Linked DNA regions of Canis lupus familiaris. The protein of the gene in region 2 purifies or fractionates together with the protein of the main gene of each other region. This does not show direct contact. Links are inferred from orthologs where the notes say so. Each region holds a gene or a part of one and is shown on either strand. Other genes may lie near its edges. The genes, in order: STRN3, ZRANB1, STRIP1, SLMAP, STRN, MAP4K4 and HECTD1.

The links.
Region 1: the proteins of ZRANB1 (region 2) and STRN3 purify together in Homo sapiens (affinity purification with mass spectrometry; 4 studies listed by BioGRID and IntAct, with this or other methods). This does not show direct contact. The link is inferred for Canis lupus familiaris from reciprocal best matches to the Homo sapiens genes ZRANB1 and STRN3.
Region 3: the proteins of ZRANB1 (region 2) and STRIP1 purify together in Homo sapiens (affinity purification with mass spectrometry; 4 studies listed by BioGRID and IntAct, with this or other methods). This does not show direct contact. The link is inferred for Canis lupus familiaris from reciprocal best matches to the Homo sapiens genes ZRANB1 and STRIP1.
Region 4: the proteins of ZRANB1 (region 2) and SLMAP purify together in Homo sapiens (affinity purification with mass spectrometry; 3 studies listed by BioGRID and IntAct, with this or other methods). This does not show direct contact. The link is inferred for Canis lupus familiaris from reciprocal best matches to the Homo sapiens genes ZRANB1 and SLMAP.
Region 5: the proteins of ZRANB1 (region 2) and STRN purify together in Homo sapiens (affinity purification with mass spectrometry; 4 studies listed by BioGRID and IntAct, with this or other methods). This does not show direct contact. The link is inferred for Canis lupus familiaris from reciprocal best matches to the Homo sapiens genes ZRANB1 and STRN.
Region 6: the proteins of ZRANB1 (region 2) and MAP4K4 purify together in Homo sapiens (affinity purification with mass spectrometry; 3 studies listed by BioGRID and IntAct, with this or other methods). This does not show direct contact. The link is inferred for Canis lupus familiaris from reciprocal best matches to the Homo sapiens genes ZRANB1 and MAP4K4.
Region 7: the proteins of ZRANB1 (region 2) and HECTD1 purify together in Homo sapiens (affinity purification with mass spectrometry; 5 studies listed by BioGRID and IntAct, with this or other methods). This does not show direct contact. The link is inferred for Canis lupus familiaris from reciprocal best matches to the Homo sapiens genes ZRANB1 and HECTD1.

Annotation. Positions count from the first base shown.
Region 1 is NC_049229.1:10,381,929-10,385,428, reverse strand, and holds part of STRN3 (striatin-3), read left to right. Parts: intron 1-3,268; coding exon 3,269-3,436; intron 3,437-3,500. UniProt on the Homo sapiens protein: Calmodulin-binding scaffolding protein which is the center of the striatin-interacting phosphatase and kinase (STRIPAK) complexes.
Region 2 is NC_049249.1:34,577,078-34,580,577, reverse strand, and holds part of ZRANB1 (ubiquitin thioesterase ZRANB1), read right to left. Parts: intron 2,310-3,500; 5' UTR 2,174-2,309; coding exon 2,133-2,173; intron 839-2,132; coding exon 1-838. UniProt on the Homo sapiens protein: Ubiquitin thioesterase, which specifically hydrolyzes 'Lys-29'-linked and 'Lys-33'-linked diubiquitin. Also cleaves 'Lys-63'-linked chains, but with 40-fold less efficiency compared to 'Lys-29'-linked ones.
Region 3 is NC_049227.1:42,381,655-42,385,154, forward strand, and holds part of STRIP1 (striatin-interacting protein 1), read right to left. Parts: intron 2,995-3,500; coding exon 2,920-2,994; intron 2,308-2,919; coding exon 2,173-2,307; intron 2,080-2,172; coding exon 1,959-2,079; intron 1,689-1,958; coding exon 1,620-1,688; intron 678-1,619; coding exon 571-677; intron 458-570; coding exon 330-457; intron 1-329. UniProt on the Homo sapiens protein: Plays a role in the regulation of cell morphology and cytoskeletal organization. Required in the cortical actin filament dynamics and cell shape. Part of the striatin-interacting phosphatase and kinase (STRIPAK) complexes.
Region 4 is NC_049241.1:32,993,912-32,997,879, forward strand, and holds the start of SLMAP (sarcolemmal membrane-associated protein), read right to left. Parts: upstream 2,801-3,968; 5' UTR 2,122-2,800; coding exon 1,924-2,121; intron 1-1,923. UniProt on the Homo sapiens protein: Associates with the striatin-interacting phosphatase and kinase (STRIPAK) core complex, forming the extended (SIKE1:SLMAP)STRIPAK complex.
Region 5 is NC_049238.1:29,431,954-29,435,453, forward strand, and holds part of STRN (striatin), read right to left. Parts: intron 2,779-3,500; coding exon 2,674-2,778; intron 1,546-2,673; coding exon 1,459-1,545; intron 1,354-1,458; coding exon 1,184-1,353; 3' UTR 1-1,183. UniProt on the Homo sapiens protein: Calmodulin-binding scaffolding protein which is the center of the striatin-interacting phosphatase and kinase (STRIPAK) complexes.
Region 6 is NC_049231.1:42,329,020-42,333,086, forward strand, and holds the start of MAP4K4 (mitogen-activated protein kinase kinase kinase kinase 4), read right to left. Parts: upstream 2,801-4,067; 5' UTR 2,665-2,800; coding exon 2,608-2,664; intron 2,226-2,607; coding exon 2,160-2,225; intron 1-2,159.
Region 7 is NC_049229.1:10,611,040-10,614,539, forward strand, and holds part of HECTD1 (E3 ubiquitin-protein ligase HECTD1), read right to left. Parts: intron 2,773-3,500; coding exon 2,538-2,772; intron 1-2,537. UniProt on the Homo sapiens protein: E3 ubiquitin-protein ligase which accepts ubiquitin from an E2 ubiquitin-conjugating enzyme in the form of a thioester and then directly transfers the ubiquitin to targeted substrates.

The DNA.
Region 1 (3,500 bases), on a different chromosome or scaffold from region 2:
TAGAAATTGTAATAAACAGTATGAAGATAAAAGTAATATGAAAGAGAGTCTCTTTAGATATAGTCCAAAACAGTGACATTTAAGACAAAATCTAAAGGATGAAAGGAAACCTTCAGGGGTTCCTGGTGGCTCAGTCATTTGAGTGTCTGACTCTTGGTTTTGGCTCAGTTTATGATCTCAGTGTCGTGGGACTGAGCCTGGGACAATCTCTGCACTAAGCACAGAGTCTGCTTGAGATTCTTTTTCCCTCTGTTCCTCCTGCTCGCTCGCTCACTCTCTCTCTCTTTCTCTCAGATAAATAAATAGATAAATAAATAAGTAAATTATTTTAAAAAAAAAAAAGAAGCTTTTAATAAAGAATTTTAAGCCAGGAAGTGACCAGTAAAGGTGGATTTTAAAAGGTGACTCTGGTTATTATAAGGAGAATAGATTGGGGTGGGAAAAGTGAAGAAAAGAATACAAATATAATGTTATAATGTAAAGTTGTAGTGTAAGGGTCTAGTAGACTAGGTGAAAGGTGATGTTTCCATGGTCATGAGGACAGTGAAGCAGTTGGTAGCAGAGTGGTTGGGAGAGAAACGGATTTGGGATGCACTGGGAAGTAGATAGGATAGGCAGAATCTGGTGATAAAGTGGATAGTGATTGAGTGGACAAAGTGATGGGTAAGTGATTCTTAATTTTGTTACTTTGTAAAACAGCTTTATTAAGATATAATTCACATGACAAAATTCACCTTTTTTATGTATACAGTTCAGTAGTTTTTATTATATTCACAGGACTGTGCATCCATCACCACTAATTCAGGACATTTTTATCACCACTTCTGAATTTTTTTGACATGAGCAGTTGGTATATAATGGTAGCATATTGAAATGGGGGCAGAACAGGTGTGAAAAGATTAAAGATGATGGCTTTAGATTTCAGTCATGTTCAGGTTACTACTATCAAGTAGTTAATAATCAAGATAGGAGAATGGATTGTATAACACAGGGGAAGTTATGTTGTGCAGGGCACAAAGGGAAGGCAAGTACGGAGGAACTCTGACATTGGGAGAGTGACTAGAGCAGGAGAGCCAGCAAAGAAAACTGAGAAGGAGAGAGACCAAGGTGGCTCAGCGGTTGAGCACCTGCCTTCGGCCCAGGGCATAATCCTGAAGTCCCGGGATCGAGTTCCCTATCAGACTCCTTGCGTGGAGCCTGCTTCTTCCTCTGCCTGTGTCTCTGCCTCTCTCTCTCTCTCTCTCTCTCTGTGTGTCTCTCATGAATAAGTAAATAAAATCTTATAAAAAAAGAAAACTGAGAACGAGTGGCCTGTGAGGAAGGAGGAGGTACAGGAAAATGTGGGATCATGGAAGCATGCCAAAAGAAAAAAACATTTTGAGAACAAGGTAGCAATCTGCACTTTCATATTTTGCTAAGAGGTCTAATATGAGGATAGATAGCAAAGTTCCTTTTTTTTTTTTATATGACAAATAGGTCACCTGGGTCTTAGCGAGAGGTTGGATGCTGGGACTAAGATCAGAGCAGAGGGTGAAGGGACCTGTGGGCAACTTTTCAAGGCACACTCTGGATGAAAAGCAATGTGATGAGAATAACCAAGAAAAGAAATGTTCAAAGAAAGAAAAATTTGGGGAACCTGAGTGGTTCAGTCGGTTAAGTGTCTGCCTTTGGCTCAGGTCATGATCACAGGGTCCTGAGAAGGAGCCCCATAACAGGTTCTCCTCAGCAGGGAGTCTGCCTCTCCCTCTTCCTCTATGCTTACTCTTTTGTTTTCTCACTCTCTCAAATAAATAATCTAAGAAAAGAAAAATTTTATTAAACTTGTTAGAAGAAAGTTTGTCATTGGTGATTTTAGCAAGAGTTATTTTGGTGGAAAAAAAGTTATTTTGGTGTAGTGATGCTATGAGAAACCATGTTACACTGATTTAGAGAGTGAATGAAAGGTAAAAAAGCATTTTACTCAATATGCTCTTCTGCTATCTGTTGGAAGGGTGATACAAGGTTTTTATTTGAGTCAGTAGATTCTAGAGCATATTTGTTTGCTGTGGTAATGATCCTAAGGAGAAGGAGAATTATTGTATAGTAGGGAAACTATAAACATGAAAGCAAGTTAGTAGGTTGAATGGAATCCAGAATTTACCTGATAGAATTATCATTTGAGAAGAAAGTAGACAGTTCTTCTATCTGGAAGCAAGGAGTAAGGTGGCTCTAGACACTAGTAAGTAGATTGAGTGGAGGAAAGACAGGAGAGGGGTTCTTAATTTCATTGCTGTATTTTCTCAGTGAAATCGATAATCAGAGATAATCATTCTGAAGAAGGGAAGTTGGAAACTGAAAATTCTGGAGATAATAAGAAATAGTTGTGGGAAGTCGGAATTTTCTAAAGAAACAGGATTGTAGGCCAGATGGTGCACAGTGTTATTATTAGCCACCATGTCCATCAAACGGTAAATGGATACGTAAAATGTAGTATATCTATTCAATGGATATTATTTGGCATTTAGAAGAAATTCTTTAAAAAAAAAAAAAGAATGTTATAGCATGTCTCTCATGTACTGAGAGACATGCTATAGCATGGATGAACCTCGGAAACATTATGCCAGTCACGAAAGGCCAGTTGTATGAAATGTCCAGAATAGACAAACTTAGAGAAACAAAGTAGATTAGTGGTTATGTGGGCTGCAGAAAAGCAGGAAGAATTGGCAGTGGGGGGTGGGAATGGCTAATAAGTGATGGAAATGTCCTCAAATCGATTGTATAATAAAAGCCATTGAATTGTACACTTTCTTTTTTTTAAGATTTTATTTGTTTGAGAGAGAAAGAGGGCGAGCAAGAGTGGGGGCAGACAGGGGCACAAGGAGAAGGACAAGCAGACTCCCTGCTGTGGAGCCCAACATGGGGCTTGATTCCAGGTCCCTGAGATCATGACCTGAGCCAAAGCTAGGCATTGGGCAGCTGAGCCACCCAGGTGCCCCCTCGAATTATACACTTTAAATTGGTGAATTATGTGATACGGGAATTATATTTCATTAAAGCTGTTTCTTGAAAGTGTATGTTCTTTATAGAAAATTCCAAGAATACAGGAAAGAATTATGGTGGGGATAAAAAATAACCCATAATTCCACAATTTAAAGATGACCACTTCAGTTCTTCTTATGACCATTATGGGTAGTCTTTATACTTAATTATATGGTGAGTTATCTTTATCCAAAACATTTTTTTCCAACTTCTTTTAGCTAATTTGTGTTTGTTTGTTGTTTCTTCCCAGAGCCAAATGTTCTAGCTGGCACTTTAGTTGCACATACAGATGCTGTCTGGGGTCTTGCTTATAGTGGCATAAAAAATCAATTACTGTCTTGTTCAGCAGATGGCACTGTTAGGTTATGGAATCCACAAGAAAAATTGCCATGTATTTGCACTTACAATGGAGACAAGGGTAAGTAAATTTTGCCCTATAAAAAAAAAAAAACGCTAATTTTTTTAGAATTTGGAAGATAGAA
Region 2 (3,500 bases):
GAGGAATAGCCAATCAGTCTTTTTCATCCTGTTTTTAATTTGCTTTAGTTTTTTAAAGTCCACTTCAAGTTCCTCCTTGCTGCCAACAGCACCAGCCAATTCAATCCTCTGAAAATCCATTTTCATTTCAGAGTCCCGTTTCATAGTAGGAGGTGATCTTCTTTGGCTATTCCCACTGCTGCAGCTTCCCCTCCACCGAGCTCGGTCTTGCTCATTTATTATTGAAGAAGCCTCTTCAGTCTCTGCCAACTCTATTGCTTCAATATTATTAGGTCTGGGATGATCACAAACAACACATTTTTTAGCCTTGGCCCAGTTTTCATACGTGCAAATAGAACAAGTCCAATGCTGGGTCCTTGTGTTCGGTTTATTTCTATCATTGTATTCCTCGCAAGGATCAACAGAAAAAGCAACTGGTCTGGAACCAGATCCTGAGGATTGAGGAGATTCTGTGGGACTCCTGGTCCTACGCTGGGATAAGCACTGGGTACATCTGATTGCTCTTGGCCAGTTCAAATAGGTGCACATGTGGCATGACCATTTATTTGCATTTTCCATGCTATAAGAAGACTTAACCCTGGGTCTTGCACTAGAGTCTGGACATATCAAAGGACTACTTCCTCCTTCGGTGCTAGAAGGATCCCAATCTCTACCAACATCACTTGAACCGCTTTTAAATGGATCTTCTGTGATAATTGTTCCACTTGGTCTTTGGGCACGACACATAGTACACTTGATCGCAGATGGCCAGTTTTCATACGTACAATATTCACAAGCCCACTTAATTCCACGTTCTGACATTGTGCTCTTCTTGAAGTGAGTTATGTCAGGCAGGGAGCTATAAATAATTAGGACATGGTTATTAAAACAATAACTATATAATTTCATCTCTGAAAATGTGCCCCAAAACAAAACTACCCTTCAACTTATAAAATAGAAATCTCTCAAAAGAAGCCTGAAAAATTTAACAATGAAGTATCCTTGTTTTTCCAATTTCCATTAGAGACACCAGAGATAAGTCCCAAGGAAAAATCTTAGACCTTGGGATTTAATGATATTGTACTTTAGAATGCAAAAGAGATAAGCAGAAGATAAAAGATTTGTTCTAAAAGGGAAGCAAGTTAAAAAAAAAAAAAAAAAGCTACTAATAGAAATGCTTAATTTAAGCCAGGTCATCATCATCAATTTAGAAAAGTAATCAATAGTTAAGATTCAAAGAGAATGGAAAGAACACAAAAACCAAATAAACACATAACAATTCTCAAATTATGAACATAACACTATCTATGATAGCACAGATTCTTATGCTATCTAGGTACAGTATCATTATGTTTGATTCACTGAAGAATTCAGAAGATCAAACAAAGTCAATTCTAACATTTTGCTAAGAAAGAAAAAAAGCAGCTTAAAAATGCTACTTACTTATCCACTGCTCTTAAAAGCACAGGCAGAAAAGAAAAATGTTGAAGAAGTAATCCTTACATTCATAAAAGTAACACTACGAAATACTGCACCCTCAAAATCTAGTTCTGTCTGGAGCACAAAAAGATAAAAACTGTGTATCACCTATTAGGACAATAAAATCGACGGAACGTCCCTAAGGTAATTACTAGCATATACTCAGTCCAGTAGAATTTTGAATATTCATACTCAAAATATTCAATATTTAAAATATACTAAAAATTTAATTCATACTGAGAATATATTCAACTATTTAAAAGCTTCCTAGACTGGGCTTACTACTAACACTACACTAAAATGAAGACTTCATGATTTAATGCCAACTTAATCTATGAAGTAACTTCCACAGCAAACTTAATAATGACTTTTCTTTTAATGGCTGACACTAAAGCCAGACTCTTCATTTTCTTAAATCCCTCAACTTAATATCATCCTGCCACCTATTTTTAGCCAGAAAAGTGAAAAATCCTAGGCAGAGTAACAGAAGCCTTTGCCTCTCTTTCTCAGGGATTTTTCCTGACCTGAAAAGCTCAAGCTTTCATTTTGTTAAGTGCATTATTGTGTCTCTGTTTGCCAAGTCCTCACCCATTTACAGTGTGAACTCCATTAAGAGGACAAATTCACTACAAGAAAGGCTATAATTTAATAGCTAAAATAAAAATCACACTTACTAAGGTTTTAGTTTCCATGCTATAACCTCCACCTTGCACATGGTTAGAATAAAAGTAAGGTTTTATAAATCAGACCAAAGACAAGATTCAGTCTTCATGTTGGCTCAGATTCTGACTTCCTCAGGAGACACTGGCAAAGCGTGCTAAGTGGTTCTGTCTGACTGTGAATAGCTAGTCCTGTAAAGGAAACCAAAACTGAGTTTCACTTGAAGCCTGCTACTTTATCCAGAAGTATTTATTTAAAAAAAAAAAAAAAAAAAAAAAAAGCCTTTAATCTACTCATTTCTTTTAATAATGGATTATTGTATTAAGCATTTTATTTTTTATGTATTAAGCATTTTAATTTAATAAATCAAATTAATTTAGCAAAAAAAATCAGCTAACTGATTGAGCTGGTCAAATTAGACATAGGAAAGACATTTTTCTCTAAAGCCTTAAACGTGCATGTATGTGCACTAATGGTATGGTTAATATTAACTTAGTAGTGCTAAGTCAGTTCCTGCCCGTATTACTTACTATTGAAGAAAGATGATGTAAACCAAGTAAGCAGAAAAAGCAAAAAATAAATATTGCTTTTATTTAGCCTGAATTCTTTTTCTCCTTCAGCAACTCTATTTTTTCCTTAACCAAGGTTATTTATATTCATATTGCTTAGATTTTGAAATTTAGCTTGTACACAGTGATACACACACTCTAACACCATCCAAAAGTGTGAAGAGCAAGGAACTATAATCATAAGCATCCATAAAATGGGACAATCGAATTTAATGGCAATTTTCATATTCACCAGGCAGTTTCTTCCTTTAGTTTCTCAAGAATGAAATATAAATAAGTTGTTCATGCTACTGGAAAATAACATGATCAAGTAGAAACTTATCATGACAAGAACAAATGACATAATGAATATATATTCAAGGCTACCAGAAGTAATTTCCATATTTCATTTAAAATATTCACATTCAAAATTTCAGGCTTGCTTTAGTAAGTCTTACTTTGATATGCTCATAGGCTCAACTAAACAGCTTGTGACCTTACATTACATTAGCTAATCTTCATGGAACTAATGTGCCAGCACAACATATTTAAATGTCCGCATCTGACAAAAAAAAAAAAAAAAAAAAAAAAAAACTGCCATAAAATAGTCATTGTCATATATGCCTGGTAAATAGCCTCTCTCTTCAAAAATCCAGGTAAGTAAACAATACCAAAACCATCCTCCAAAAGTTTTAAGGTAAGTACATGATATTAAATAATGATGTATATACAGTATCAACTCTACAGGAAATTGAGACTTTGTAGAAATACCACTTTTTAGTAAATGAAAACAAACTCATTGGAGAGGATTACCTGAGAGAGTCATTTGTACAT
Region 3 (3,500 bases), on a different chromosome or scaffold from region 2:
GACCTCTGACTGAGGGGACCCGATTACACCAGCTCTAATTCTGCCTCCAATCACTTTATATGCTCCAGGTTCAGAAGCAGCCTGGTTGGAAAGAAGGCATTTTAGGGCTAGAGAAGCAGCTTCCAGGAGTCAGGGAGCCCACAATCTATTCCGACCCAAGGGCCAAGTCCTCTTTGACCATAGTGAGACAAAAGTGTCAAAGCAGTTAGTTATATATTAATTCACATATAGTTTTTCACATAATTCAACATTTAAAAAGATATACAATGAAAAGTCTCCCTCCTGCCCCGATCCCTAGGAGCTGAGTTCCCCTTCAAGGCAATGCTCACCAACACTGTCTTCCAGAGCAGCAAGAGAACTTTCTTCATGGGGAAGTGAGGGGCATGGCCGCTGCAAAATTTGGTCACCATCCCAAACAGCATGATGGCAAATGGTTCATTGTTGTACAGGGGGGAACCTAGAGGGAACACTAAGGGATCAGGCCCACCAGCAGGAACAGGACCCTCCCAAAGGCCAGAAGCCTCTGCTTCCAGGCAGGGCCTCAGCACCCCAGGATCTCTAGGGGCCTACCCAGCTCAGCCCTGAAGGTCTGTCGTATGGTCCTCCACTCAGCCTTATCGCCCTCACATTCCTGGTGAACGGTCTCCACAATCAGGTACATGATGTTGAGCAGGACCCTGGGAACAAGAGCCAGCTCATAATGGTGCAGAATGGGGAAGCAAGGGAGTGTCCCAGCTTCCCCACAGTCTAGCTGACATGAGGAAAGTGCTTGCACAAAGGCTAGCTGGGGGCGAGGGCTGTGACGCAGAGAAAACCAAGAGTCCCACAGAGCACCTCTTGGTGTGCCATTTCTTGGTCTCTGCTGTTAAGATCCTGACCAGATCTTACTCTGCTTGATATTTCAGCAGCGTCGAGCTAAGTGGATATCAAAGCAGGTGCTTCATCAATGGGTTGCTGAATGGATTAACATGAACAAGAAAGGCTCAAAACATTTCGGGTCCTAAGCTTCCTGGAGCAAGAAAAACTCAGAGGTGGGAGCGAACTGTGGAAGTAGGTGCCAGATCAGACAAAGCAGCACGGGGTCAAAGCTACCGTGATGGAGCAGAAATAGGGAGCCAGCGGGCAGTGCCCAGGGACCCGACCATAGTGGGGAAGACCACCAACACCAGGTCTGAAAACTCCCAAACTCAGAGACAAAGATGCTAAGCCTCACAAAAATGGGAAGGTGATCTCATTGTTCAGCAGTTGCTACCTCCTGTGCAGCCACAAAATATCATCAAGTAGATGGGGGTCGAGCTGCGTACCAGAAGGTGGAGCCCAAGTAGCCACGTCATGCATTTCACCAATCACAAAGTACCACACCACCAAGTTCTCAGCAAAAGTGTGGGCAGGAGGCCATATCTCATTGTGGCTCTAATAAGTGGCTTCACCCTAGGTTTCCTGTGAGGGATACAGCCCAGAGGCCCACCGAGGGAGAACCTTCTGCAGGGCTGACTCAGGACACATGAAGATCAGCATGCTCAGAAGGAGCACACCCACAGCGAGGGCACCCGAAGACACCCTCCTGCTGCCCGCTCTGATCTCATTCTCAGGGAACCCAGGCTTGCTGCCTGCCTCACCTCAGGTCTGTGCTGTCAGCCAAGGAGATGGCCGGCTTCCTCACTGCACTGCTGCAGGCGGCACTATTGCTGCAGGAGAGATTTGGGAGTCAAGTCTTCCCCCAGGAAGGAAGAGGAGGAGTTCCCCTGACAAGGGCCACCCAGTGGAGGAATAAAACTATATATGTGCTTTGACTGCACAAGAGGCCACAGCTCAACCTGACTGCTCAGAACAGAGCCTGGACCACGCCCTCAGCCTTACTAGGCCCAGTCACCCTCCTCTGAGACCTGAGTCCTGCCAGCTCTGTCCCCTCGACCCCTGCCTCCCCTTCCCTACTCCAGCTCCTCAGACGGACTCACTCTATTTCCATGTTCAGAAGTTCCACCAAAGCATTGAACGTGCCCACCTCCAGGAGCAGAAAGATGTTGTAGCGCATCCAGGACTGCACCTCTGCCTCCGAGCTACACTCTCCAAAGGTGCCTGCAGACACAGGGCTCATGGAGTCCTTCCCCAGATCTGACTGGGCAACGTCAGTGAAGGCAGTGTCAGGGTATCCGGGGGCCCACTCAGTACCTTGGGCAACGTAGAGAATTGCTCGAGCCACCTTGAGTCTTTTCTCCCTGGCAGTGACTTCCAAGCCATCCAGGAGCCTCATAGCATGGGTACGGTGCTCGTTAGTATCCAGCTCGGTCCATTTCTTATCTGTTACTGCAGGGCAAGAGACCAGTTATACTTGAGCCCAGAAAAGTCCTCACAATGGCGGGCAGCCCCAGTGGCGCAGCGGTTTGGCACCGCCTGCAGCCTGGGGTGTGATCCTGGAGACCTGGGATCGAGTCCCGCATCGGGCTCCCTGCATGGAGCCTGCTTCTCCCTCTGCCTCTCTCTGTCTCTATGAATAAATAAATAAAATCTTAAAAAAAAAAAAAAAAAAAAGTCCTCACAATGGAATGAACACAATGCTAACTCACCAAATTCAAGACTGCCACAAGACCAGAAAACTCAGTAAGAGAAGTTACTCTCTACATAAGGTGGAAGGTCATGCTGCTGCTCTACAGATTTCCAGACTGAAACACTGATATTTTTTATGTTATTTTTATCACATAAAGCTTCCTCCGCTCCCCATATTCACACTCTGAAAAGCCACCACCAGAGTACCAGCAATCCCCCTCTAAAGCTCACAGGGGGCCTTGAACAATCATGGTTCAGCAGGTCTCTTAGGCCAGTCCAGAATGACTCAAGTCGCTCAGATGACTAAGAGAAACTCTGCAGCTCTCACCACACAGGGACAGAGGAACCAACAAGTGCAGGGAACCGGCTCACCATGGATCCGGAAGTCCTCCTCAAAGCATTTTCGATTCATCAGGAATTCTGGCCCTTCCGTGTAGCTGTAAAGCTCTATTAAGAACAAAGTCTCATTAGCTCCACGTCCACCTTCCATAGCAGTTCTCATAGGTAGCAAAGAATATAAGGCATCTGCTTCTAGGCCCCAGTCTCCCTGAATCACAGTGACTCCCAGACTATCCAATGACTAAGGGGGTGTGAGTGCTCTGATGTGCACGATGCAGAGAGTGCTGATTCCCGCTAGCAGCCGATAATCAGAATGCCACATAAATCCAGGCCTTTCCAGTCCTGTGCACATCAATCCCACCATGCCATGACAAGGCTGACTGCCACCATGGATAAGTGTCTCTCAGGTGGCCCTGACCTCCTAAATAGGACCTGTACTATGGAGGCCTGAGAAGCAGCTCAGGCTAGCTTCACATTACATGTGAGTAGCAGTGGCAGTAACAGATGTGCACAGATGCAGGCACATTTGTTGGCAAGCCTCATGAGTGACCTACTGCTCTAGGAAAGACCACTGCTGGGCACAGAGTGCATGGCCAAGGAGCATCACTGTCTGC
Region 4 (3,968 bases), on a different chromosome or scaffold from region 2:
ATCCTGTAGACCTGGGATCAAGTCCCACGTCAGGCTCCCTATAGGGAGCCTGCTTCTACCTCTGCCTGTGTCTCTGCCTCTCTCTTTCTCTGTGTCTCTCATGAATAAATAAATACAATCTTTAAAAAAAATTTTTTTTAACATGTCATCTCAATTTATACAATACTCAATATGGATCTAGCCTTAGCCATCACAGAATAACCTTACTGTGGGGGTTTTGGTATAGCCATGAAAAGCACTACTGTTCACGTAATCACTATTTTTTAAATAAGTAATAGAAAATATCTAAGTCTCCTTTGAGTAATGTACCAAAGTAAAGCAGGTGCATTTGCAGATTATGTACTTTAAGCAAACCTATTATTTGATTAAGTTGGACCTTTGCTTAGACAAGAAAAAAGCTGGCTGAGTTAGGGCACTAGCAGTTAATTGATGTTTGAATTTAATAGCTAGAAAGATGGGTTCTATGAATACTCATTTTAAATGATTATGGGTAATCTATGAAGTCTTTCAGACACCCAAACTCTAGTTTCCAGGGAAGAAAAAAAAGAGTCTGTTCCATAGGTAAGTGAACATCTGGTGTTATACAGAAAAATTAACATATTTTTCAGTTCTCATCCTACACAGAGTAGGGCATAGGTATTATGCAAGCACAATCTTTTCCTCCTTTCCTGAAAAATGATTTATATAATAATTCCTTAATTCAGTAGCAACAGAAGTATTGCTTTCTCTCTTTTTTTCTGAGGCTCAGGTCTCTTTCATTTCAAAATACTACTACTGAAAACTTAAATTCTTCTTTTAAAAAAGACATAATCATTTAACTCAAAGAGGGAGGGAAAAGTCAGGAGGTGAAACCCAAGGTATTCCTATTAGTCTTACATAACTTACTCTAAAGTTGGAACTGATTCAGTAGTTCAACTAAAACCCGAGGTAAAAGCACAAAAATGAGTTTTTTTTAGTATATTCTCCACACACATAAAAAGTTCTTAAAATTGAAAGGGACTTATTTGTTTTCTTCTATTCTTAAAATATAAGCACCTACAGGTAAGGAAATTAGGGTGCCAACACAAAAATGCAAAAGGGTCACACTTAAAGAGCATTAAATTCATCCTATCCCATCTAGGTAATGCAGTATTTGATACAATTGGATATAATCTCAGAAAATAAATTAATTTCCTAACACTGATTTTTTTAAGTATCTCCTCTGTAAGTATGCATTAGGTATTTTTAATAAGTTCTTGCAGGGAATGCCAAAAAGTGATTTTCAAAAGCAATATATGTCTGTTCACTCAAGCTGCAAACAAAACTCTGAAAATGTAAAGTTACAGTTGTTTATGCTTAATGAAATTGGCTTTGAAAATTGCAAATTACTCCTTCGTGGGTAAATACACGTATCAAATCTGTCAAAAATGTTAAGTTTACACAAACATCTGTCCTTCCTAGAAAGACCCCAATCTGGACTCAACTAAAAGCTGTGTTAACTACATCTCACCACTGAGACACCTGAGCCTCAGTGTTAACACTGACCATAGATTCCCTGCATTGCTTTGGGAACTGCTGCTTGCTTACTCAAGCCCTGAACGGCAAATTCACCTTTCTAAAAAGACTGGAAGCGAGAAGCCAAGTTTCACTATCTAGTTTCCACCCCCCTCCCCAAAATGAATTAGGGTTTGGGATTTCACTGGGAAGGACCACATTATCAAGATGCCATCGCCCTCCCGAGGCATTTAATTACAATACCTTCTCTGTTTTCCATTCAACCACCTCAACTAAACTTCCAGTAGAACTAGACACACACAAAGTTGGTTTCCACGGCCTTGCTGAAAAGCCTCGCTTGGGTGCAAACGCTGGGATTCTGCATACATTATGCAAAAGGAGCAAAGGGAAACGAAAAGGAAAGACTGTTAGATAATACGGTGACATTACCTTGCCCGTCTTGTGATCAAACCAGACGAGAGCATGGTTCCTTGACAGCACTTTGCAATCAAAGGTAGCATTATTCTGCGCCGGTCGACAGCGGGCCACGGAGCGGCCGATTTTAATAGGCTCGTCCAGATAGACATGGCGCTCCTGAAACGGGTGCGAGTTCGGGCGGCAAGTGAAGATGGCCAAGGCTGACGGCATCGAGGACAGACTGGGGGGTGTCTCTCCTACCAGAGGACAAAGAGGAGTTCCACCGGATCCGGACTGCCCTTCACAAGCCTATCTTCCTATCCCCCCCAAAATTTTAAATTAAAACAAACTGCGCATTGTCTAAGCATAACCAGTGAACATCAACAACTCTTCACTTGAGTGGGAAGACAAGCCAGCGCAAGCCCCATCACCTCCTTTAAAACTCAGCAGCGCCCTGATCGCACAAAGTCCCCAACTGGCAGCTTTCAGTCCATCTTCTTCCCTGGGAAGAGAAGGCTCGAACATCAGACAGCTTCGGCCAAGAAAACTCCTGGAAGACAGTTTGGGGGCTGGAGGTATCCAAGCAGATGAGTCACACGCCAGTTCTTGTGTTTTGTTTGGGATCTCGGCCGCTTTTCCCCCTCGGTGGCGGAAACGTTGCAGCACTGCAGCATGAAGGAACGGTCGGTTCCGTGCGGCCAGGAAGGTCCTTTCGGGGCGAAGGAAGGTGTCGCCGAGCACCTCTGGGCAGCCACCGCCCGTCTTCAAGGGCCTCGGGAGTGGAAGGGCAGGGCCGAGGGGGGCGGCGAGGGGGTCTAGATCGCCAGCGGGACGGTCTGCATGGCTCCTGCTGCGCGGAGGACCGCCCGGGAGCTGGCACGGGGTCCCCGGCACGAGCCGAGACGGCGGCGGCGGCTGGGGTCCTCGGCGCGAGGCGCGGGGACAGGCAAAGGCGCGGGCAGCGGCCGAGCCGGGACTCCCGGGCACCTGGCGGGCGTCCCCGCGCCCAGGGCGGGGATCCGGCTGGGCAGGCCGGTGCGGAGCGAGCGAGGCGCACGCCCGGGGAGGCTCGGGGGTCTCGGCCCGCAGGAAGTTGGCGCCTGGACGCCTGGACGCCTGGACGCCTGGGCTCCGGGCAGTGGCTCAGCACACCGGCCGCCTTGTCTCAGGGTTGCCCCCGCGAGGGTCGCATCTCAGGGACGGCGGCCACGGCTCCCAGCGGACGAGAAGGTGGGGGAGGGAGGCTGGCCCGGAGATTGGGGGAGAGGCCTGGAGGCCCCGGGCTGGGTCCGCCGCAGCCTCCACCACTCGCGGCCGGTGGGGCAGGCTCAGGCTGTGCCCGACAAGGCAGGAAACTTTCCGACCTGGTGGGGAAAACATCAAAACAAACGGCCGTCAGGCGCCGGTGCCCGCCCGCCTCAGCCCGCACCCCCTTCCACCCGCGCCCCCCCCCTCCCCCGCCAGTCCCTGCGATGGGCCACGACCTCGGCCGACCTCTCCGCGGACAAGCTGCGGGGATTTAAGGCCCGGACGCCACGACGGGTCCAGCCTCCCCGGCCGCCGCCGCCGCCTCAGCTTACCTTGCCAGCGCCGGCCGCCATAGTGACTCTGACTGAAACCTACCCGGTGCACCGCCACGGGAACGCGCACCCTTCAAGGGCCCTCCTACCCCCTCTCCCGCGCCGTAGTCCGGGGTCGTCACGTGTTCGACGCCACGGAGGCCATGATGGTCAAGGGCAGAAGAGAGGGCAAGCTCCTTTTTAACGCGCCTCCGGACGCCATGTTAGTTAAGGGCTGGGAGCTTCAGACCCTGGGGACAACCCTTACGGCCATTTTTGTTAAGGGCAGGGGAAAAGTGGACCTGTTGAAGGTTTTCCGGACAAAACGTGCCAGCTTCCTACGTTACCAGCTCGGCTAGAAGACCCCAACTTTTGCTAAATTGTATTCACTATACTTCTCAGTGAAAATACCCATGAACGAAGAGAGCAGACCCATCCGAAGGAGATGTTCATTTGCAGTCATCTTAGCTGTGGGCAACACAGTCCCGTACCGCCGCCTTAGGTGTGCCCAAATTCCCA
Region 5 (3,500 bases), on a different chromosome or scaffold from region 2:
CCAGATTCCCCTTATTGAATATATTAATGGAGGACTTCTGGGGTACAAAAGAGTTGCTTTATTTAGTCCAGCAAAGACAGCTGCCTGACATTAACCAAACCCTTTGGGTTGTTAAAACATAATAATTTTAAACTGTTTTTGGTAGATGTCAGATAATTTGAACATGAGAGACAAAGAGCAAGAGGTCATCTGAAGCATGGTTTGTGGGTTTTGACCAATGTGAGTACTCACAGATAACTTCCAACTTTTCAACCACTGAAAGGTCTGATTTCATCGATAGGAGATAACCATTCTGGTACTATAAATATCACATGAATAAAGTGAATTTTAAAATTAACAGAGAGTATTATAAAGATATGCCCTGCCTGCCCTTAAAAATAAACAGAATCTCAAACTTGAATAAGTTAAACCCATTAGTAAAAGCAGACTCTTATCAACTATTCATAACGGTGACTGTTTTTGACAGCTAAACTTTACAATGGTACCAAATCTATTTTCAAAAATGTAATACAATATAGAAATCTGCTTACAAACTAAATATTTGTTTAGTATTTCTGAATAATAATATATTTAACATATTATTGCATTTCTTTTTTTTTTTTCCCCTAATAGGTAAAATGCTTTGCCAGGTGCTTTATGTGCACAGATGAAAGGAGAGCTAAATTAAAAACTCATTTTAACACTGCCTGGTCATTACGCACATAGGGGTTAGTACAGCAGATATGGTAAAGATTACTGTTTTGACTACCTAATGTGTTTAACAAGATTCTCAGGGGAGAACTAGGTCTAAATTTCTGTTCTTCCTCCACTCATTCCCAGTCATCAAGCTTTTTAATTATCCCTTATAGCATGCCCTATTTACTCAATAGGGACAGGCTAAACTTATGTTCGCTCAGGCCTGCCTAGCGAATCAGAACAACCTCAGAAATAAAAGCTCCTATTTGGGGGAAAATTTGAAACAGTTTTCAGGCTCACAGATTCAGCTGAGCTTGCAGCAACCTGAACAAACCTTAGTTTTAGAAAACAGTATACGAATTGCAAAACTATACTTTAACAAATGTTCTCTGTGCTCCTTCAGCAGAACAAAAGGGCAGGAAAGGTTGATTCTTGCCCTGGTCTTCTGTATCTCTTTTGTGCAGTTGATTATTTATAAAGAGCTAGAAGGTGAAGATGATGCATTGTGTCATACAAAGACTTTAGCTAGTGCATCAGCCCCAGCACTGGCTATATAGCATTTGGATGGATGGAAAGCTACATCATGAATTGATTCTTCAAACTTTTTCCGATGAGCTGTGAACTCTTGGATACATGTCTTACTTTCTAGGTTCCATAAACGTATTGAACAGTCATGACCTGCATCAAAAGGAAAAAAAAGAAAAGAAAAGAAATTGAAAGGAAATATTACATTAACATGAAAATAATAAGGATAAATAAGTAATCCATAGTTGATGTACTTACTGCCAGACATCAAGTACAAGCCATTAGGATCAACTGCTAGACTTGTAACAGCTTCTAGGTGGGCTACCATGGAGTGGATGAGTTTGCCTTTGGAAAAAAGAGATTATTGCTCTTTATTAATAGTTTTCCTTATCCTGAAATATATGCCAGCTACCACGTTACACTGATTTCTCCAGTCACCTCTCTGAATACTTACTGCATTAATAGCTTTTTCCATCACAGCTCAACAATGTGTCTCCCTCCCCACTCTAGCCATGGTAATGAAGAAAAACAAAAGCTCAAATTTCAGATTATATTTGTGTCTTCCAAATAACAATATAAAAGTTAGTCATTTGTACACAAATATTCTTTGAGTCATGTTCATTAACTCAGACATTACTAAACAGCTACTTTGCATCCTTTAGCTACAGGTAAATTATATGGGTTGTGAGAACAGAAGAGAATGAGACAAAGATAAAGGAACAGAGAAAATCTGGCCACAGTTTTGGTGGAAATAACATATAGGAAGGGATTAAAATATTAAATTACTCATCACTCACAGCTAAGCAAAGTCAGCAAAAGTCAACAGTAGATACTCAGGTAAATTTGGCTGATAATATGGAGTGTTCTCCTATCAACACAGCTCTTCAGGAATTTCTTTTAAACTGGTGAAATGCAATTCAATAAAAAAATGGGAAAGCCCACACATCCTAATTCAAATCAATCAGAACCAGACAGTCAATCAAGTTAACCAAATGACTTGGGTTTCCAACTCCAACACTAAGGCTATGCAAACACTGAACAATTTTATTTTTTTTTCTTTTTTTTTTTCACTGAACAATTTTAAACAAAATATGATAGAATGATCATATGCCTCTACTTCCAACATGTTTCTACTTTTTCCCCAATATATTCACAGCAAGAGATCAGTTTTATTGCTATTTGAATGACCTTTTCATTGTGTCCCTATTCATAACCTTGACTCTAGGGACAAAACATAGTATCTACTTATTAAATAAACCAAGATGATTCTATATAGTACCATGAAGACTAGTTCTTAGCAGATTTGGACAGATTAAACAGAAATTGAGCTGGGAGTGTCTATATCTGTTTTCATGCCTACTCTTGGACTATGCAGCCACTAAGAGACACCCAAATCAGCGTACTTATAGTGGGGTTTGTGTTTTTTTGTTTTTTGTTTTTGCTTTATCACTGATCACTTTGCAAAACACTTACCTGTATTGTTATCATAGAATTTGATGTGCCTGTCTTCATGAGCAGTAATGCTGATGGGAAGAGTGGGATGGCTGATGACTCTATTTATTTGGCAGGAAGAACTGGCTGCAAAAAAGAAAAAAAGAGCAACAAAGTTAGTCAAAACTACTAATTTCTTCACACAAGGGAACTGAATACTCACCTAGGAGACTAAAAAAGTAAATGATTTGACTTTAATTTGTTTTTAGTTCATTTATTCTGTGACTATTTATAATTTTAATGTTTTAGAAAAGAACTGCCTGAGCAATACCATACTAACAAATATAGAAGTACCCACAAATGAGAATTTTCTTTTCCACCTGCAATCAATGGGGGCCACCCAGGCTTTAGCCTAGGGTCACTGACCTATCTCATTCTCTGATCATCTGCAATACTTCTACTGCTTTAATAAAGTTCCATCATTACTTACATGTAGACGATACTCAAATTTAAATCTCCACCTTTCTAGATACAGAGCATTTTTTTTTAAGATTTTATTTATTTATTCATTCATGGCAGACACAGAGAGAGAGAGAGAGAGAGAGGCAGAGACACAGGCAGAGGGAGAAACAGGCTCCATGCAGGGACACTGATGTGGGACTCGATTCCGGGTCTCCAGGATCACACCCCAGGCTGAAGGCGGCGCTAAACTGCTCGGCCACCGGGGCTGCCCGATACAGAGCTCTTTATCACATAGTTATCATCTGAAGACAAATATGACAAAGAGAGCTTCTGACCTCTTCAATTTCTTTCTTGTAATAGAAATGGTCATCGGGGCAGCTGGGTGGCTGAGTCAGTTGTGTCCAACT
Region 6 (4,067 bases), on a different chromosome or scaffold from region 2:
GCAGATCAGTCAAGTACTGACTAACTGTTAAACTGAGTGATCTACTCTCTCTCCTTGTGTATGCTTGCAATTTTCCAGAATAAAAAAAGAACTGCTGGTGAGCAAAATCTCAGGCACTATTCTGTGTGTGTATGCCACTCTTGCACAGATTTCTTAATTCGTTAGGTTTGCATAATTTGAGAATTTCTTCTCAACTGTACAGACTTTGTAGTCAGAGAGCTGTGTCACTGCCAGTATTCCAAATGCTTCCCAACTGCACCACTCAGCAAATCTATTTCAAATGCTTGGGGGAAGGAGGAGACGGAACCAAAGGAAATGAAGAGGGGAAAAAAACTGAACAATGAACCTGCCCAAACTGTTACCATAAAGAACTCCCACCTCTTAAAGCCACTTAATTCATAGTCAGGTTTCACTCTTTCTTCCTTCTTATGGTTTAAAAGCAAGACTGTAGGCTTCTAGTTTACTTCATTGCCCTTCACATCCATCCATGCTGCCTGAGGAAGATACAAACAATCCAACTACTGTGTAACCAGGTCAAAAACAAGCTTTGGCTAACTTACTTGGAAGAGTACACTCACCACTTAGATTTGGCCAGAAAAACTAGGTTAGAAAAAAACCTACTGGGGCTTAAACAAACACTGGGGCTGGGGAGAATGTCTTAGAGCCAGTTACCAGGCCACTCAGTGAGTTGCAACACACTCTTTTCCAAAATTTTCCAAAGGCTTCCAAATTCAGTTGAGCCCAGCAGCCTGAGTTAACAGGGCTTCTTTTCAAATTCAAAAATCTGGCCGCAGCCCCAACAGTTAACCAACAAAACACATGCTAATTCACTTGAGATCACCTAAGAATACAGACTCAAGTTCAGACCACTGGCTGGTACACAGCCTGGTACAGAAGCCCAGGCCAGGGGAAGTCGGGGCTGGGGAGAGACGTTCAAGCGACAGATAAACCCTATTCATAAAGCGTAAGAGAGACAATAGGATCCACACTTAATTTGGCCTAAGAAAATGTCTACAGTCAGCTTCCAACCCCCCTCCCTCCATCTTCAATGAGACAATGACAGTTCTTCATGGTGAACCACAAAGCCTTGCTTCATAAGATATTTTCCTCTAGCCGGACCTTGTATCCACTCTAACAGCTAGAAAACACCCCCAGTGCAGATTACTTTTAGCAAACCTTTAGTAATAAGGAATAAATCAGGACAGGGGAAATCTAACATTCTGTTTCAAATTTTCAAGGCCTGTGCCTCCATTACCTACAGCTCTTTCAAGAAGCTCTACAATGTGCACTGAACAAAACGAACCGCACTGTTAGTCACATCAGGTGTCAGCTACTCAGAGGAGACTCATAGTCTCCAGATTTGTTAGTTTCACTTGGGGGGTGGGGGGGGGGGGGAGTCGGGGTTAAACAAAAAAAAGAGAGAGAGAGAGAGAAGGGCCTGGGGTGGGTGTGAAATCCGGGCATCCTCTTGAGCTCTCCCTCATCTCTGTTTCAATTACACACCTGTCAAACAGGTTATTCCTGGAATTCAGATTTTATAATCCTCATGCTGTAATCCTTCCTGCTCCTGGTGCCCGAACACACACCCCTCTCTGCTTCCCCAAAATATGTATGTATGCATCCGTAGAACGTAGGAGAGAGAGTTAAGAAGCAAGCAGTCCCAGGTAACACCGAACTCCTCACCTTGAGCACTTGGCAAACATCAAAACGAGGCAACATGATGACAATTTTCAAGAAGGCCAAGGCAGTGGTTTAAGATAATCATAGGCCAGGCCTGCCTATACTGAATTTTAATTAACACACACAAACTCAAGAGGGCCGGAACTGGGGAAAACGAAAAGAATTAAAGTTGCCTTGACGGGGAGAAGAAGAAAAAAAAAAAAAAAAATGTTTTCCCATCTTACTGGAGAAAAGTGCATGCCTAAGAGTGTAGCTTATTTCCTTATCTCAAAGCCAGGAAATGAGTGAGGTCCTTTCAGGCCAGCCTGAATATAAACTCTTGTTTAAAAACAAGAGGGACTGCAGGGCGAAACCCCTTTCCCCACTTCGGCCGAGCGGCGTGGCCTGCAGTCGGCGGCGTGTTTACCAGCCGTCTGCTCGTTCCCCCAACCAGAAGTTTCAACGTGCCACGGGAAACAAAGACGGAGGCTCGCACCGACCTTATAGACTTGTCCGTAGGTGCCATTTCCAACCACTTCCACCAGCTCAAAAATCCCAGCAGGATCCTGGTGAAGAGGAGGGGAGGGGTGAGAATTTTAAAAGCAGCACAACAATGAATAAATAGAGCGGGGCGGCGGGAGAGAACGGGCGACGGCACACCCGGCGGGCTTGGCCCCGCGCGGTCCCCCAGCGCCCGAGGGCCGCGCCCGGGGCGCGGGGGGCGCGGGGGCCGCGGGGGCCGCGGAGGGTCGCGGAGGGTCGCGCCCCGCCGCCCCGCACTCGCCGACGCAGGCAGACAAAGGGGCCGCCGCGCCCGCGGCTGTGCCGGCCGCTGCGCCCGAGAGCCCGAGCGCCCGAGCGCCCGAGCGCCCGGCGGGCAGGGCGCGGCCCCTGCTCCCCGCTCCCCGCTCCCGGCGCGCCCGTGGGGGGCTCGTCGTGGCCACTCACCCGCAGGGAGGAGAGGTCGATGTCCACCAGACTTTTTGCAGGGGAGTCGTTCGCCATTTTCCCTTTTTGCCACCAGACGAAACAGTACCAGTAGATCTCTCCGCCTGCCTATCTCTTCCCGCCGCAGGCCAGGCCGCCGACGGCGCCTCCTCGCTCGGGAGCGGGCGGCCGGACTCCGCCCGGAGAGGCCGCGGGCAGCGGCGGCGGCGGCGGCGGCGGCGGGCTGGCGGCTGTCGGCCGGCCCGGGCCGCGCGCGGAGGGCGGACGGAGCGTGCGCGGGGCGGCGGCGGCGCTCACACCATGGCGCGGGGCGGCCGTCAGGCCCCCGGGCGTCGCCCGCGCCTCAGGCCCCGCGCCCGCGCCCCGCGCCGCGCGCCTGGAGGACGGGCCCGGAGCGTGGGGCCGCGGCGCCGCCGAGAGTTGAGCGAGTGAGCGCGAGGCAGCGAGACAAAGATAACCCGGGGGGCGGGGGCGGGGGCGGGGGCGGGGGCGGGGAGGGGGGCGGGGAGGGAGGGGGCGGCGGCGCGGGAGGAGGAGAAACGGGACACCGAAAATATATTCTGAGGAGGGAGAACGCGGCTCCCCCGCGCCCTCCCCGGCAGGAAAAGCGAGCGGAAACGCTCCCAGCCCGAGCCCCGCCGGGGAGGGCGCGGGGCGAGCCGCCCGCGCGGCGTGAATATTCAGCAGGGGTGCGGCCCGAACAATGGCCGGCCGGCGGGCGGCGCGCACCGCGGCCGGGGCGGGGAGGAGGCGCCCCGGGACTCCCCCCGAGGTGCCGGCGCCGAGGAAACGCCCCATCTCGCGCTAACAATACACGGAGCCGCAGGGACGCGGCCCCCGGCCGCAGACGCGCGGAGGCGCACCGGCCCCGGCGTCGCGGGGGCGCGAAGGGGGGTCGCCCCGGGCCCCCTGCCCCTGCCCCTTCCCCTTCCCCTCCCCTCCCCTCCCCCACCTCCGGATGGGTTCTCTACCCCCCCCCCCCGACCCTCATTTCCGGTTTCCTCACACGGTTCTCGTTTCCTATCTTGCAGGCGACGTTTGTGACAGGCGTGTAGGTGCGGCGTCCCCTGAGCATCACCTGGCCGCGGGTCCCGAGGCTCTCCGTGGGAACCGAGCCCAGAACAGCCCCTCTGAGCGCCTGGCACTGCCTTCCTTACCGCGCTCGGGAGGTGAGCCCTGTGGGGGGGGCCCCAAGTGCTAACCCCCGTTTTGTGCCTACAGATCATTAAGGATCGATATAAACAGGCTTCAGCCAGCAACTTCGGAAGCTCGTCGGTAGGTGGGCAGTTTGATCCTGTTAAATAGGGATGAATATATTGTGTGTGCACCACCCATCATTTTTATCACATCGCTCCACAAAAAACTTTGAACGGCTCCCTGTTACCTCGCGGCAGGTTCTTTCTCCAACCTGCGTGCGTCAGAATCACCGGGAGGGATTGTAAAAGCGCCGGTGGCTGACC
Region 7 (3,500 bases), on a different chromosome or scaffold from region 2:
AGAAATCAAGAGTCCAATGCTCAACCACCTGGGCCACCTAGGTGCCCCAAATTCTTTTATGTATTAAGTCTTCAAAATCCCAAGTATATTTTATACTTACAGCATATCTTAATTTGGGGTAGCCACATTTGAAATATAAATATGGCTACCATATTAGACACTAGGTTCAGATGGTGAAGCCTGCATAGTAAGTTAAGCAACTAAAGTAACTTAGCAGAAGTTTATACAGGTCTTACACATTAAATAAATAAATAATGCTTGCTATTACATTCATCATCCTCACACTCTAGGAATGTTAAAACATTAAAAATTAACTCTTATTTCCAAATTATGCTGATGCTTAAGGGGTTCGGGTAGAACACTAAAGAGTTAACAGAGTCCACAGATCTTATGGACATAGCAGAAAATTTAGATTTTATTCTTTAAGCAAAAAAAGTGCTTGGGATACCTTTGCTCGGGTCATGATCCCAGGGTCTGGGATTGAGCCCCACAATGGGCTCCCTGCTCAGCAGGGAACCTGTTTCTCCCTCTCCTGCCCACCCCCCGCATCCCGCTTGTGCACACACTTTCTCTGTCAAATAAACAAATAAAAGCTTTAAAAAAAAAAAAAAAAAAACTTGTTTTAAGAAAACTGTTTTAAGCAGAAAAAGATGATATTTCCAGTTAGTAACTGGGAATGGGGCATAGGGAGAGTGTAGAGGCAAATGTAAAAATAAATTCAAGCATTAATATTCAAGAGAGAATGATAGCTTAACTAAGGTAATAACAACAGAGACAAAAGGAAATAAACTAGAAAATCACTTCATTAATAACTACATGTATGGAGAGGAAAAAAGGAAATAAAGGATAAAGCACAGGTTTCTGCCTAGAGTGACTGGGTGAATTTGATGCCAATTATCAAAATAACTGAATCTGCAGTAAAATATTATTAATTCAAACAGCTGGTTGGAGCTATTCAAAAAGCCTTTGAATATGGAGTCTGGACCTCAAGAAAGAGGTCAGGTCTAGAGATAAGATGTGAGGGATATATACAAATGAATGGTATTAATGCTGATAGATGAGATTATCTAAGCAAAGTTATAGTTTTAAAAAGGTAAAAAAAGAAAATACTACCATTTAAGAATAATAACAATAATCAGAAAAGGGAACAAAAAAAGAGCAGGGTATGAAAGACAAGAAAGTTTGAAATTATTATTATTATTTTAGAACTACTTGATGAACACATTTAGATTTTACATGATTTTTTATTTGTGATTCTTATTTCATTCTTACTATGATTCTGCTGCTCTGGGTCAGCAGTTTTCAAACTTTCTGCCTCAGGATCCCTTTATAGTCTTATTATCGAGGGGCCCTCAAAGAGCCTTTGTTTATGTAGGTTATATCTATTTATCTTTACTATATTAGATATTAAAACAAATTTAGAACATATGTTTACTTGAAATAAGAAACTCATTATGTGTTTAACATACATTTTAATGAAAATAATTATTTCCTGAACAGATAGAAACTCAGTGAAAATAGTAGCATTGTTGATAAGAGATCCTCATATTTACTTCTGCATTCAGTCGGTTACGGTATCACATATAGCTTTTCATAAATTCAAGTAGTTCTAATAAACTACTGACCCAGTGCTGGTGCTTTTTAAAGTCACATAAAATTTATAATTAGTCCCAACAGGAATAAAACAAAAGAGCTACTCTAAAGGAAGTACAGAAAAATAGTTAAATTCATGGGCCCACAAACCAGACTTCCTAATTTCAAACTCCTACTCTTCCAATAGTGTTCAAACTCCTACTCTTCCGATAGTGGAATCGTGGCTCTGCCACGAATTATCTGTATCACCACCAATCAAGTTAGTTAACCGCAATATGCTTGAAATTTTTTCAAATAAAATATAGAAATGCTGATATTAGCAGCACCTGCCTCATATAAAATTGTTATAAAGACTAAATGAGGGATCCCTGGGTGGCGCAGCGGTTTGGCGCCTGCCTTTGGCCCAGGGCGCGATCCTGGAGATCCGGGATCGAATCCCACGTCAGGCTCCCGGTGCATGGAGCCTGCTTCTCCCTCTGCCTGTGTCTCTGCCTCTCTCTCTCTCACTGTGTGCCTATCATGAATAAAAAAAAAAAAAAAAATTAAAAAAAAAATTAAAAAAAATAAAGACTAAATGAGTTAACACATGTAAAGTGTTTAGTATAATGTCTGACTCTGATAGTATTAGCTGCTGTTATTACTACTTTCATAAAAAATCATTTTGGCTAAGAACAGGAATAACCTATCTCAAAAGCTACAAGAAACCCAAGAACCAGCACAAAAGAGCAGTATCACTGACCTACAATTTTCTTTTCCTAAACTTCTAAGATTTCTTTTCCTAAACTTTATGGGATCTTTTTTGGTGCCACAAGGACTGTGACTTCCACTGTTGTCAACCACTCTCAATAAAGTAAGAATAATGAAAAAAATTTTCTTTTTTTAGTGAAATGTATTTTTTATTCTCTAGTCATCTTCAAATGGGCCAATAAATACTTAAAACTTACCTTTACACACTGTTCAGCTAAGTCTCTGCTAGTCCTGTTATTAAGTTCAACCACAACTAAACGATTACAAAGTGCTTTTATAGCTCCATCAACCCCAACAATCCTTCGGGTGCATTCTGCAGATACATCCAGGTAGTACGTGATGGCACGAGCTGTCACTTCTAACACATTGTCTGGAGCACTTTCATCAAGAAAAATTTTGCAGAGGGCTGGTAAGAAAGTGCGAGGAGGACATCTGTAGAGAAAAAAATCGTATTACACCTAAAAAATCGTATTACTAAATTCTTCACATCAAAGTATTAACAAAATAATAAATAAAAACTGTAACAATGCATCACATTCAATACTGTGTCTGATGTGTACTAGGTAATATTTCTCACATTGCTTTCCTTTCCAGAATACTCACATGCTGAAAATATCAAGTTATCAACAGTTTAAAGTAGCAGCATTAACTCAAAATCTTGTTTAAAAAAAATTCCTATTCAATACTCAGTTCAAACATCAACTGCTCTGTAAAACCTTCCCTAACCTCCTCAAATCACTAAGTGGTACTTTCATGTTCCTAGAGCCTATACAAACAGTACTCACACTATTTAATCTATCACTTTATTTCTTTATTTACCTTAAAAGGTTCTGAAGGCCAGGAACATTGTTTAATTCATGTTTTACTGGGAATAAGTGCTGACCTGGCATTTAATAGGTAAGGATAAAACATACAACATCTTTGTAACCCTTCTGGTCCTGTTTCCTCATTTGTAAAGCAAAGACAGTATCTAAAAAATATCTACTTTATGTATGATATGAAAGTTAAATGAAATTATACACGTTAAAACAGTTCAGTACATTGGCACAATATTAAACTAACTGACTTTAGCTCTAACTTTTCTCTTATAAATAGTCTAATACCTGCTATATAAACCCATATAAGACGACAGTTCGATCAAAAGCAGAATTTGTGAGGTA